Linked DNA regions of Rattus norvegicus. The protein of the gene in region 2 interacts with the protein of the main gene of each other region in a biochemical or structural test. Links are inferred from orthologs where the notes say so. Each region holds a gene or a part of one and is shown on either strand. Other genes may lie near its edges.

The links.
Region 1: the proteins of Eif4e (region 2) and Eif4g3 form a complex in vitro, tested with the Homo sapiens proteins (3 studies listed by BioGRID and IntAct, with this or other methods). The link is inferred for Rattus norvegicus from reciprocal best matches to the Homo sapiens genes EIF4E and EIF4G3.
Region 3: the proteins of Eif4e (region 2) and Eif4ebp3 form a complex in vitro, tested with the Homo sapiens proteins (2 studies listed by IntAct, with this or other methods). The link is inferred for Rattus norvegicus from reciprocal best matches to the Homo sapiens genes EIF4E and EIF4EBP3.

The regions. Positions count from the first base shown.
Region 1 is NC_086023.1:155,617,353-155,620,997, reverse strand, and holds part of Eif4g3 (eukaryotic translation initiation factor 4 gamma 3), read right to left. Parts: intron 437-3,645; coding exon 1-436. UniProt on the Homo sapiens protein: Component of the protein complex eIF4F, which is involved in the recognition of the mRNA cap, ATP-dependent unwinding of 5'-terminal secondary structure and recruitment of mRNA to the ribosome. Functional homolog of EIF4G1.
Region 2 is NC_086020.1:229,739,162-229,743,606, reverse strand, and holds the start of Eif4e (eukaryotic translation initiation factor 4E), read right to left. Parts: upstream 2,855-4,445; 5' UTR 2,842-2,854; coding exon 2,824-2,841; intron 2,422-2,823; exon of another isoform or gene 2,350-2,421; intron 1-2,349. UniProt on the Homo sapiens protein: Acts in the cytoplasm to initiate and regulate protein synthesis and is required in the nucleus for export of a subset of mRNAs from the nucleus to the cytoplasm which promotes processes such as RNA capping, processing and splicing.
Region 3 is NC_086036.1:28,538,923-28,542,655, forward strand, and holds Eif4ebp3 (eukaryotic translation initiation factor 4E-binding protein 3), read left to right. Parts: upstream 1-1,401; 5' UTR 1,402-1,430; coding exon 1,431-1,533; intron 1,534-2,530; coding exon 2,531-2,704; intron 2,705-2,820; coding exon 2,821-2,849; 3' UTR 2,850-3,148; downstream 3,149-3,733. UniProt on the Homo sapiens protein: Repressor of translation initiation that regulates EIF4E activity by preventing its assembly into the eIF4F complex: the hypophosphorylated form competes with EIF4G1/EIF4G3 and strongly binds to EIF4E, leading to repression of translation.

The DNA.
Region 1 (3,645 bases), on a different chromosome or scaffold from region 2:
GCTGGTAATTTCTCACCAACTCCGTTCATTTCATTAATTAGGACAGGACTAGAAACGAGCTGGCCGTCAGGAGGTGCTACACCACAGGGTTTCTTGCATAGACCAATGTCATCTGTTAGTGAAGGGCCTGGTGCTGCTGTGCAAGACGTGGGGCTGCGCACAGGGGGGGCATCATCTTTTGAGGAAGAGAGTTCACACTTGTCCTCAGCAGTGAGCAGCTGCTGGCTGCTAAGGGCAGCGGACATGGGGGAAGGGAGTGAACTCCGGGCAAGTGGAGGAAGGGTGGTGGGTGATGAGGTCCGAGGAGGCTCTGGGCTGGGCTCTCCTGCAGCAGTCTCGGGTATCTGGCCTGCTTGCTCTTTCTTCTCCCCACTAAGCACGAGCCTAAGGACTGTTGAAGGAGACTGGAACACTGGGTCTGGTTTTGGCTTTTCTTCTGGGGGAAGAGAAATAAAATATTTTAAGAATAATTTTGAATCATAGAATACACAGTATTGTCTTAGGCCAAGTCTGCCCATCGCTTACCCATACTTGTGGTTAAGAAAACAGACCAAAATACCAGACTCCAAAGACACTGGCCTGGTTGTTTTCTAGTTACACTTCCTAGCCCTCAGTCTCCAGGACACTAACAGGTGACGCTTGCTCAAGAGTAAGACAGGGGATCAGTTTACTATGTGGTGATGTCAGGAGAACAAGAGGAGAACGAGAAGCTAACCTCAGATCTTCCCCCACACACCTTTCTTGCATCCTGGGCTCATGGTCCTCTTGCCTCAGCCTGCTGACTGCTAGGATTACAGTTCAGCTCAACCATTTCTAAGATAAAACAGCCTCTGCCTCTCTCTACCGTGCTTCCTGTGACTATTTTTGTACTAGGGGCACATTACTATCCATGTACAATAGTATAAAGACCAATAATCAGAAATCAAATTATTATAAACTCCACAAGCACTTTAACATCAAAGGTGGTTTCAAAATTAACTTTTATTTCTCCCAAAAGGTTCTAACCAAAAACAGCAGCAGTGAGGGAACAGAATCATCGGGTTCTTAAAAAAATAAAGCAGTTCCTCAAAGGGAACCAGAGCTAAGGATCCAATAAACCATTCACTGGACTTCTCTGTGTGGGAAAAGGTTTATATGTGTGTATGTGTGTGTGTGTGTGTGTGTGTGTGTGTGTGTGTGTGTGTATAACATTTGCTCTGTATATATTTCAATTTATATATAAACACTCCATGTACAGAGAAATAAGAACAAAGCAGAAACTGATAACCATAAAGGAAAGGAGTGCTAATCAACCAAGTTACTGGATTCCAGGTAATGACATGGGAGTCACTGAGAGAGGAAGGTCTCTGATGCCCCCAACTTGGGTTTCTTCCTTAAAATGTCTAGTTATCTAAGACAGCCAAGTCTGAGCGACTCTCCTCTCAATGTAGCCTGCACCCACGAAGATGACTACAGCAGTGTGAAGTCTGTGAATGAGAGCACTGCCACCCAGAGAAAGCGGAGCACATTACCATGCTAAGGAGAATTCTTCACAGCTTCAAAATTCACTCCATGTGTTGGGCAGGTAGCTAAGGCGTCTGTCTACCTACGACACTGCTCCTTCTCATCACAGTAAGGAAAAGCAATAAATGCTCAACGCCAAATTTCTCAGATTAAGTTGGCAGGGCAAAAAATACAATACATGGGAAGGAACTATATGTGTTCATCACACACGTGTGTGTTCTCTGTTGATTACATCTAACACAGCTCTGACAAATTCCCATCTTTTAGGGCCACTACCCAGGCCACACACGGCACATAGTACTACTTGGTTACGTCTAAAGTTACCCTAGAGATGTTCACTGTTCTGTAGAGGACTTATTTACTTCAACATGTCTGGGGACTGGAGACACTTTCCTTCATTTGCTGATCCAGTTTCTGCAATGAATGTATCATAAGAATGACCAACCCATGGCCTAGACAGGAGCTTGGTACTATGTTCCATGGCCAGCAAGCAGGTGCCATGGCCATGCATTAGGAAGAGGCCAAGAGTGGCCACATCCTCTATCTGAGGGGCAATCCTGCCCTGAGTGCCAACAGAGCTCCAGCTGGGTCAGGGTAGAGTTGCAACAGAGCTGCCATTTCTGAATGCAGAGTGGACTTCCCCAAAAATATTAAGACTGACTATACGGACTGCCGTGTCCATCTCTACTAGGGCCCTGCACCCTGGTATCAATCAAAACGCTACACTGGCTCTGCTCTTTAAAGACATAGAAAAGCCTTAGCGCTTGCGCTCTTGCGCTTGCTCGCTCTCTCTCTCTCTCTCTCTCTCTCTCTCTCTCTCTCGCGCTCTCGCTCTCGCTCTCTCTCTCTCTCTGTGTCAGTCAGAGGTGAACACCAAGTGAAGTTCCTCATACATTTAACGGTTCTCTCTTTATAAACACTGAGTCACTGTCTTACCTCCATAAAACATTAAACATGGGAACTGGTGCACCCCCACTCATGAGATGGACTTCTGAGAAAGCAGGTTAATGATGGCAGTTACATTTATGAAGTACCTAGCACAAGCTGGGCTAATAGCCAGCCTGTACTGTTCCCTTCATTACACCCTCACCAGGACAGAGACTACTGTGTTTATGTTTTACAAAAGACGAAACAGAGGCTTAGAGATTAGTTCTGGTCCAGGAACTATCTAACAAGCAAATGATTCAAGGGTGATTTCAAAGCCCACATTTTTCTGCTATGGGGTAAGCTGTCAGATGGTTCAAGCAGGAAGGACATTTTGTTACCAGAGCAGACCCTCGGCAGTGACAGATCCACTGTGAAGACAGAAAACCAATTAACGGGAACAATAACAGTGCAGCCCCCTAAGCTGCTCCAGGCCTAGAACTCCCTACACAGACAAGGTCAGACCCTGCCCAATGGTGTGTGTTACCACACCCGGCTTATAAATCTTTTAAGTAAAGTACACTTCTTTACCATAAAAGGAATTTAATGTCTGAAAAGCAAGCATAAAGAAAGAAAAAGGCATAATCAAACAGAACAAAATAAACCCTTCTCTTGAGAGCACTTTCTAGTAGCATCTGAACTACAACTACAAGTGGTATACAGTGCCAGGAGCTCCTCCGAGGCTGGGGTGCATCTGTGGGTAAAAAGCTTGCCTAGCAGGAGCACTACCACCACACGAGTTGGGAGAAGTGGTGCACACCTCTGATTTAAGAACCCAGGAGATATGGCAAAAAATCATGAGTCATCCTGAGCTACACATGGGCGAGAGGCCAACCTGGGCTTCATGAGACCACACTTCAGTGTAAAAAACAACACTGAACAAAATCCTCCCTAGTCCTGAAACAACTTCACATATTGGCAATCTAGGAGAATCCCCAGAAAATACTTGATGTGAAGATTTCTTCAGTCACAAAGAGCTGCCAATCAGTGCTTTAAAACACAGTACTTTCCAGACAGTCTAAAACATTTGCCAATCCACCCACATCTGTATGTCAGCCAGAAAATTTTTTTTTTTACTAATTCAAATTTTTTCTAAGAAAACAGTTAAAGGAATTCTACAATTTTACATCTTCCCTTCCTGGAAATGTATATAGGCCTAAAAGTGTCAAAATAGAAATAGTTCATATTTTTAAAATTTGAGCAAAATTTATTTTGCCT
Region 2 (4,445 bases):
CTCCTAAAGCTGTGACCCTTTAATGCAGTTCCTCATGTTATAGTGGTCCCAATACAATAAAACCATTTTCACTGCTACTTTCTAACTAATTTTGCTATTGTTATGAATCAATGTAAATATCTGTATTTTCTGGTGGTCTTAGGCAGCTCAGTCCTTAGACACCCCCCCCCCCGAAAGGGTCACACCCCACAGGTTGAGAACCAGTGTTCTAAGTGTTTACAATTAAATACTCTACCAAAACAAACAAAAAACTCACAAAAGCTCATAAGCTAAATAAAAATAGCAATGACCAAATAAGATTTTTAATTTTTACAAGCTTCAACTGTAATCCAATAGTAGACTAAATCATCTGTTTTTAAAAAGTACTAGTGTGCTCTAAGCCATGGGGATACCTCTAAGGTCTGCCCTGCACAGGACAGCAGACAACGTGGGCTTCTACATACAACCTTTCTGCCAAGCCTCTGAATAAAGTACTTCAAAAACAACGTACTGGTGTAGTTTAGTGCTAGAATAAACTTAGTAAATGCACCAGGTCCTGAGCTACAAATCAAGCATCCAAACCAAATCTTTTCAGTTTGGAGGGAATCCTGGAACTAGCTCTGTAGAACAAGCTGGGCTCAAACTCAAAGAAATGCCTCTGTCTCCCTAGTGCTGGGATGAAAGTAGCCCGCAGCCACCGCCCAGCTCCAAAAAAAAATCTTACAAATATTAAAATACTGTATGACTAGCCTCTAAGCAAGGGTGTGCTAACAGTAAACAGAAAATGAGCACCTCAGTGTCACTTTGCACACTGTCTCCAACTAGTTTCAACCCAAGTTCCACCCTTCACATGTTAGGCTTCTAGGCTTCTCTTGTCCTTAAATTTACACACACTATGCACATCAACAGGGTCATCAGTAGGAAGAGTATCTCACCTCTGAGCCTGACACTGGCAGTTAGGCTCCATAAGAGCTCACAAAGCACAGACCGCATTTTATATAACTTTGTATTCTAAATATCACTTGGTAACCACCCAAAAGGTATCAGCAACTCTGAGCTGACTCAGAACAAAATCCAATGACTACATTGTGGCTTTAGCACAATCCAAGACTTAAATGGAACTGAGAGTCATAGTTCACACTGCTGTTTTATTACTTAGGTCTTTTTAGTTTTGCCTCTATTATTACCTGTAATATTTTCCTCTAATACTGGTAGAGAAAGGTAGAAGATTCAGTCAGAAGTAGACGGCAGAACTTGTCAAGAGTTTAAGTTAAATTTAAATGCTTCCCCTCCTGTTCTTACATTGATATTCTAAAGTTAGTTAATTTCACTAACAACTTATTAGGCAGCTTTGCAAAATGCAGGAAAGCTGATGTCAATAAGGAACAAGTAAATCATGCCTCCACCCACAAAAAAGTAGTCTTGAATTCTGCCAAGATAAGGCTGTTTTGCAAACTAATCAAAATTATTCAGTCTATGGGTGAGTTTTAAAAATATCTGGCAAAGGTGGTATACAAAGGTTTCTGGTTGCTAGTCTATGCCTTTTTGCACCTGAGATTTTTATCACACAGGTGTGACATTCTTTAAAAATCTGGGATGGAAGACCAGTGAGCCAGCTGCCGGCAAACCCAAACCACAACAAAAACAACAACAAAAAAAATCACCACCTTCTGGCTACCGGGTTTACCTACGTGATGCTCTCTGTGCATCTTGCTTCAATTAACTTCAAAATAGCGCTTTAATTAAGAGGGAAGCAGTGTAGAGTGAGGAGGAATCATCAGTGGAAAAGCAGATGTTGAGGCGCTTAAGTGATGGTTCGGAAAAGGCTCCTGAATTTCGATTCTCAGGACTCCAAAAGCTGCCCTCTGACCTTCACACTCAAGCCCTGGCTCGCGCCGCTGCCCCCACGCTTAATTTTCCTTCCTTTAATTAAAGAAAAGATAATCTCCAAAGTTCCTATTTCCAAAATTAGTGTTCCTTGAGTATCTCCCAGACGATCTCCTCGCGTAAGAGTAGAAGAATCTACACGGTCCTCGGAGGCGTGCGCACTGCGCCGGGAGGATGAATGAATGGAAGCCCGGCGCGTGTGAAATGCAGGTCTACGGCCAGCCGACCCGCTGGAGCGAACTGTAGGCCTCGCTCCTCCCCCTTCCCTCCTCCATGACAGCCCAGTCCCGGCGTGGAGGGGCCAGGACAATGTGATCACCTTCTCGGCCGGCCCCCTTCCCCGGCCCCCGGAGGTGCGCGACACGACCCCTGGGCGTGCTCTCCACTCAACGCCACAGCCCCCAGCTCCCCGCGGGACGCGCTCCCCTTCTTGCCGCGCCCCGCCCGCCCGGCCCCGCGCGCCCACCGGCTCCGCCAACCCACCCTCCTCCACAGCTTGAGAGCGCGGCCCGCACGAGGACCCCGGCGGCGGGGCGCGGGCGACGGCGAGGCGCCGCTGCCTCAGGCTCCCTCTGACTCTTTCAGGCCAGCTCGCCGCCCACCCGCCCCGCCAACCACGGTGCCCGCTAGGAGCCGCCCGCCCCACGCCCACCGGGACCCCAGACCGATCCCGCGCTGGCGGCCCGAGCCGCCCTCCGCCGGCCGCACCGCAGGGCCGCGCGGCGCCCCTCCCCCACCGACCCGGTGCCCGGGCCCCCACACGGCGTGTGCGCTCCACGCTGCCGCCGCCAGCCTCCCGGCGCCGAGGCTGCCCGCGGAAGGTCAGGCCGGTGGGAAAGGGGCAGGACGCGGCCGGAGGCGCTGTGCGCGCCGGGAACGCCGTCCTGCGGACAGTCCCTGAGCGGAGGAAGCCAGAGCGCGGGGACCTCGGGGGTGGGGGCCGAAGGCAATACTCACCGGTTCCACAGTCGCCATCTTAGATCGATCTGATCGCACAACCGCTCCTGAAGGGGGGGCGAGAGGAAAAAAATGAGATTCAAACCGGATTGGCCGGCTCCTGCCCACGTGACGGACGTGTCCGTTTGGCCCTGGCGGCGCCTGCGCAAGACTGCAGCTGCTTGGGGAACAAGAGGCTTCTGGGAAGTGGAGTCTCTTTTTTTTTTTTTTTTTTTCTCTTAAGGCAAGGAAGTTTTTTCTCCCAAAAAAAAAAAAAAGTGATCACGTGGTCGCTGGCGAGGGTGCGCGGCTCCCAGCGCCGCCCGCACTTCCTGCAGAGTAGGTTTTAGGCCTCTGCGGTGCAGCGGGCAGAGCTCCGGTTGCTCTCACTGCTGGGCATTCCTGCTGTGCCCTCTGTCGCCCAGTCCTCCCATCTTTCCTAGAAGGTTGAGAACTGCAGGCTCAGCACACGCAAGAAGGCTTCATTTGCTTAGCTGAGGTCCTAAGACAAGTTGCTTGTGTTTTTATTTAGTTTTCTTTTCGCCTCCCACCATTTTCTCTTGGTTTCAGAAAGAGGCGGCGATGGAGAGTCGTTGATGAGGTCTGCGTTCCCCCGTCCCCGGTCCACTAACGCGGGTGGTCCCTTGCTGCCATCGCTGCCCAAGCGGGTGGGCGGGCTTGCCCACGGTACCCACTCACACGCTTGGGGAAGGGGAGTGCACGCGTCGGCTTTTCCTGTTCCCAGTCCTGAGATGAAGGCGTCAGGGGTGAATCTTGCTGGACGTAAAAAGTTTGGAAAGTTCTGTCCAATCGGTTCCAGTATTCTGCTTGGACGTGAACGGAAATAGCCTACGTCCAGGTGCCAGCCAGGGAAGCCACTCCGGGCTCCGCTGACTCAGCCCTGGACTGAGGGTCAGGAGTCGTTAAGCCGGGTCAACTATGACTCTTGACGTTGACTCATGCTCCTTAGGCGAGTGACTTAATCACTCAGCGCCTCAGCTTTTTCATTTATGAACCAAAGATGATAATACACTTACCTCACAAGGGTGTGCTGTGGTAAGGACTGTAACCAGCTTTGAAAACGCTTCGGAATCTAGAAGCAAGCGCGTGCCTTCTAAGCACCGGCTGCCTCCGCCTCCGCTGCTGTTTTAACAATTTTTTTTCTTGACCCTGGGTCTCCTGTAGCGCACGGTGGCTTTGAACTTAAGATGTAGGGGAGGATGGTCTTGAACTGTTGATCCTCCTGCCTCCACCTCCCTGTCAAAGTACTGGGATTACTGGCACGTGCTGGTAGTGGGGGCGGGGAGAGCCCTTTTTTGCTGAGAGGGATGGAACTCGGGGCTTCGGAGTGCTAAATAAGCACTCTACCAACTGAGTTATATCCCCAACCCTTAACAATGTTTTAAATTTTTCTTTTGTTTACTTTGTTACGTACACCAATGCAGTTTTAAAGTTTCAAGACTTTGCTTTTCTTTACGAATGTCGCTGCTCCCAACAGAAACTTCATGTTCATGAAATTATGTTCATAACAACTTCTAACAAGCAGAAATTTGCCCCTACACTGGCATGCCACATTTTCTTCTAAGTTACTGGGCCATCGTTTCTCAAGACCAAGACCGTGTTGAGTAAAGGTTCTAATGAGG
Region 3 (3,733 bases), on a different chromosome or scaffold from region 2:
TCCCCCCCCCCTTTTCCCCCTTTTATAGTTACAGCTACCAAGACTCCCAAGCCAGGACATTGGGCGTTACCCTAGCTTATCTCTATTTTCCTCAGCCTGCCCTTGCTCAGTTCACTTTATCTTCCACCTTTAAGTTTTTATTACACTTATTGGGGGAGGGACATGTGCATGTTTCTGTACCTGTGTAGAGATTAGAAGACTATTTACAGGAATTGATTCTCTCTTTCCACTTTATGAAGTCCTAGGGATTGAATTTAAACTGTCAGGCTTGACAGCAAGTGCTTTAATCTACTGAGCTATCTTACTGGCCCCCACTTTGTCCTTCTTTTGTGTATCTAAGTTTCATCCACTTCTCTTGTCTCCATTGTCACTACCCAATTGACTCATCTGCAGTATCACCGTCCATCCTCTCCACCATTCCTCTATTCAGAACCAACGGGCTAGTTTCTCAGTTTGCTTAAAAGTGAAATTAAATTGTCAGACAATATCCAGTCTATTCAGTCATGCATCACTTTGTAAGAGACTCCAGTCAGTACATTTTTGGGAATAATAAAATGTATGTACACTTGCTACCTACAGTATGACTCTGAAAACCTGCAGCTTCTGCATTAACAGGAATCACCTGTCAAATCACTGTGCATAGACATTTTGTCAAAACCAATCTCAGCCAGGCTTAGTAGTACATGCCTTTAAGGCTAGCACTCAGAGGTAAAGGCAGATAGACCTCTTAATTCCAAGCCAGCCTGATCTACATACCAAGTTCCAGGGCAGTGAGATCCTGTCTGAAAAATAGTAATAATCTAAATAAAATCCAGTCTGTGAGGCAAGCCTATCTTTTCTGTTCCTTTCCAGAGAACTTAACAGCTAAGCCTTCCTTACCAAGCTCTCAGTTAGCTATGTCTGATCAAAGGGCTGGCCTCCATGGTCTAAGTATCTTGACTACTGTGTTTCTCCAGGGTCTAGTTTAATGACCTTTAAAAGTGTCATATTCAAAAAGCTTATGCTCAAGGGTAGGCCATAGGATACCTTGACCAACTACAACAAATTGGTATCCATGGCACTACAAAGCTGGGCTGAAGGATCCAAACTCTGAAGTCAACTTAAATGAGATCCTGTCTTCCCCTCCTATAAAACCTGTGGGCATATTTTTATCATAAAACGTGATTAATAATACTACATTACTCCTTCCAACATCCAGGTCTTACTAGTAAATAAACTTCTCAACCAACATCTATCTCTCAGGTCAGTCAGTACAGATCCTGAGTTTCCTGGGCAGGTGGGTGGAGCGGGTGGGCGGAGCCCTCAAGTTAACTGGCCAGTGGCCCGCCCCGGGTATGACGTATCCTAGTATTGCCTGCTGCGACTGCCTCCACCTCAGAGCTGTTTTCCACGGTTTTAAGGCACCAGCTGTTGCCTTCCTGCTGCTCACTATGTCCACGTCCACGAGTTGCCCAATTCCAGGGTCCTGGGACCAGCTGCCAGACGGCTACAGCACCACGCCTGGCGGCACACTATACGCCACTACCCCGGGAGGTCAGCGGGCAGGGCTGGGGTCTGTGCTCTGTGGGACAATATGAGGGTGAGGTGGGGTCGATCTTAGCATTGCTTTCTCAGACTTCTCTTCAAATTATAGCACTGAGGGAAGCCTATTTGAAACTTGTTTTCCCGAAAACCCAAAGCAGTGAAACAGTGCTTTATACCTGGCTTTCTGGCGATTCAGGGGGATAATTCTGTTGTGCTCCATGCCTATGCTGCACCAAAATCACTGGTCCTGGGTCCCAATATAACAGTGGTTCTCAACCTTCCTGATGCTGTAACCCTTTAATACATGTTATAGTGAACCCCAACCATGAAATTACTTTTGTTGCTAAAGTTAAGAATCATAATGGAAACATCTTTTTTCCTGGTGGTCCTAGGCGACCCCCATGAAAGGGTTGCTTGATATCCACCCCTTGTATAGCAACCCACAGGTTGAGAACCACTGCAATAGGTGACCTCAACAGAAAGCAGCAAATAATATGTAGTAGTTGTGGCACCTGGACCATAAGCTGCTGGGCTGGCAAACAGGTTTCTACCTACTTCGTGGAAGCAGACGGGAACAGCAAAAACAGGGCAGGGATCTTTGAGGATACTTTGCTGACCATATATTCCCAGGGGTGAGGCTAGCCCTGAAGGACTTTGGATAGGTGAATGGCCCATCATGTTTACCAAAGAATGCAGCTTCCTTTGCAAGAGGTGAGGTTAGGCCCCACTTTATACACACATCAAAGCAATGAGAACTGGAGACTAAGGACCTCAAGTATCTAAGTTTAAAGTGTGGTATTCCTTCTTCAGGCTTCCACCACCACCACCACCCTAGCCTAAAGCACCCTACATAGACTTACTTAGAATATTTAACTTGCCTTAATGAATGCTTAGACTAAACTTGGTTGTGTGCACAAGTCCTTTATAATGTGATGGTTTGCCAGCTGAATCCGAGCTTGGCTCTGTCCAAGTTCCTAACTCTACCTCAATCTATACTCCTTCACAGGCACCAGGATCATCTACGACAGAAAGTTCCTGCTGGAGTGCAAAAACTCACCCATTGCCCGGACACCTCCCTGCTGCCTCCCTCAGATCCCCGGGGTCACAATTCCCCCAACAGTACCACCCTTCAAGCTGGAGTTGCTGAAGGAACAGAAGCAGACAGAGGAAGAGATAACCGGTAAGAAAATGGTTCAACTATTAACTGCCTTTGTGAAGCAGAGTTGGGATTCAATTCTAAGAGAGCTTACCAACCCTTAGATGGGTTAACTGTGTTCTCTTGTTTTCTCTCCCCAGATGACGAACAATTTGAAATGGACATGTAATCTAGTGCAAAGTGACCTGTGTGGAATTATGGAAGGAGCTCTCATGCCACTATTGTCATCACCCCTTCTAGGGTATCCAGGGCCAGCTGGCCTCATCTAATCTGGAAGTGAATTGTTGGTTCTGAGCTTCCTTTAGTTCTGAGGCAGCTAGACCAGGGATAGCAGTGGGCAACCTGCCAAGCCTTTAGCTTTCTCTGGTCTATACATATTCCTCCCAAACTCTGCTCTTCCCCTCAGGGCTGGCACTGGGGAACAGAGTATGTCACCTTCTGGCTGCTTAGTAAACTTTCAAAAAACTGTCTTGGCTCCATTGTCCTCCTCAGTGCTAAATTCACAGCTGCACAACTAAGGCATAAGTCTGTTTCCAGCTCCCACTGGCCCACTTTCAGCAAAATCAGGGCATGAGGGAAGGCTACTGGAATTGCCAGGCACAAGCAACAGCCTGAGCCTTGCTAAGGTCTAGCAGTTCTTGTCTTTCCAGGCAGCAGCCTTCCTGGAATTAGATTGTTCTAGCAGCCCCTCCCTCTCCATTTGTAAGCTGGAACCCTGGAAGAGATGCTGTTTCACCTAATAGTGATCCCCAATTTTTTGCCCTGCCTTTTCTGCTTATTACTTCTAAGTACCAATCCCTAGTTCAGTGCTTGAAACCTTATATCCTCTTCTCAGCATAACCACCAATATGTTTGTTTCACAGCTGTTTCTTCCTTTCTTTTTTTAAAGTGTTAGAAATGACTTTGGGGATGGTGCTGGAGAGATGGCTCAGTAGTTAAGAGCACGGACATCTCTTCCGGGGGTCCTGAGTTTCAAGTCTGGACAACAGAACCACATCTTACAACCATCTACAGTAGGATTTGATGCCCTCTTCAGGTGTGTAGGCATATATG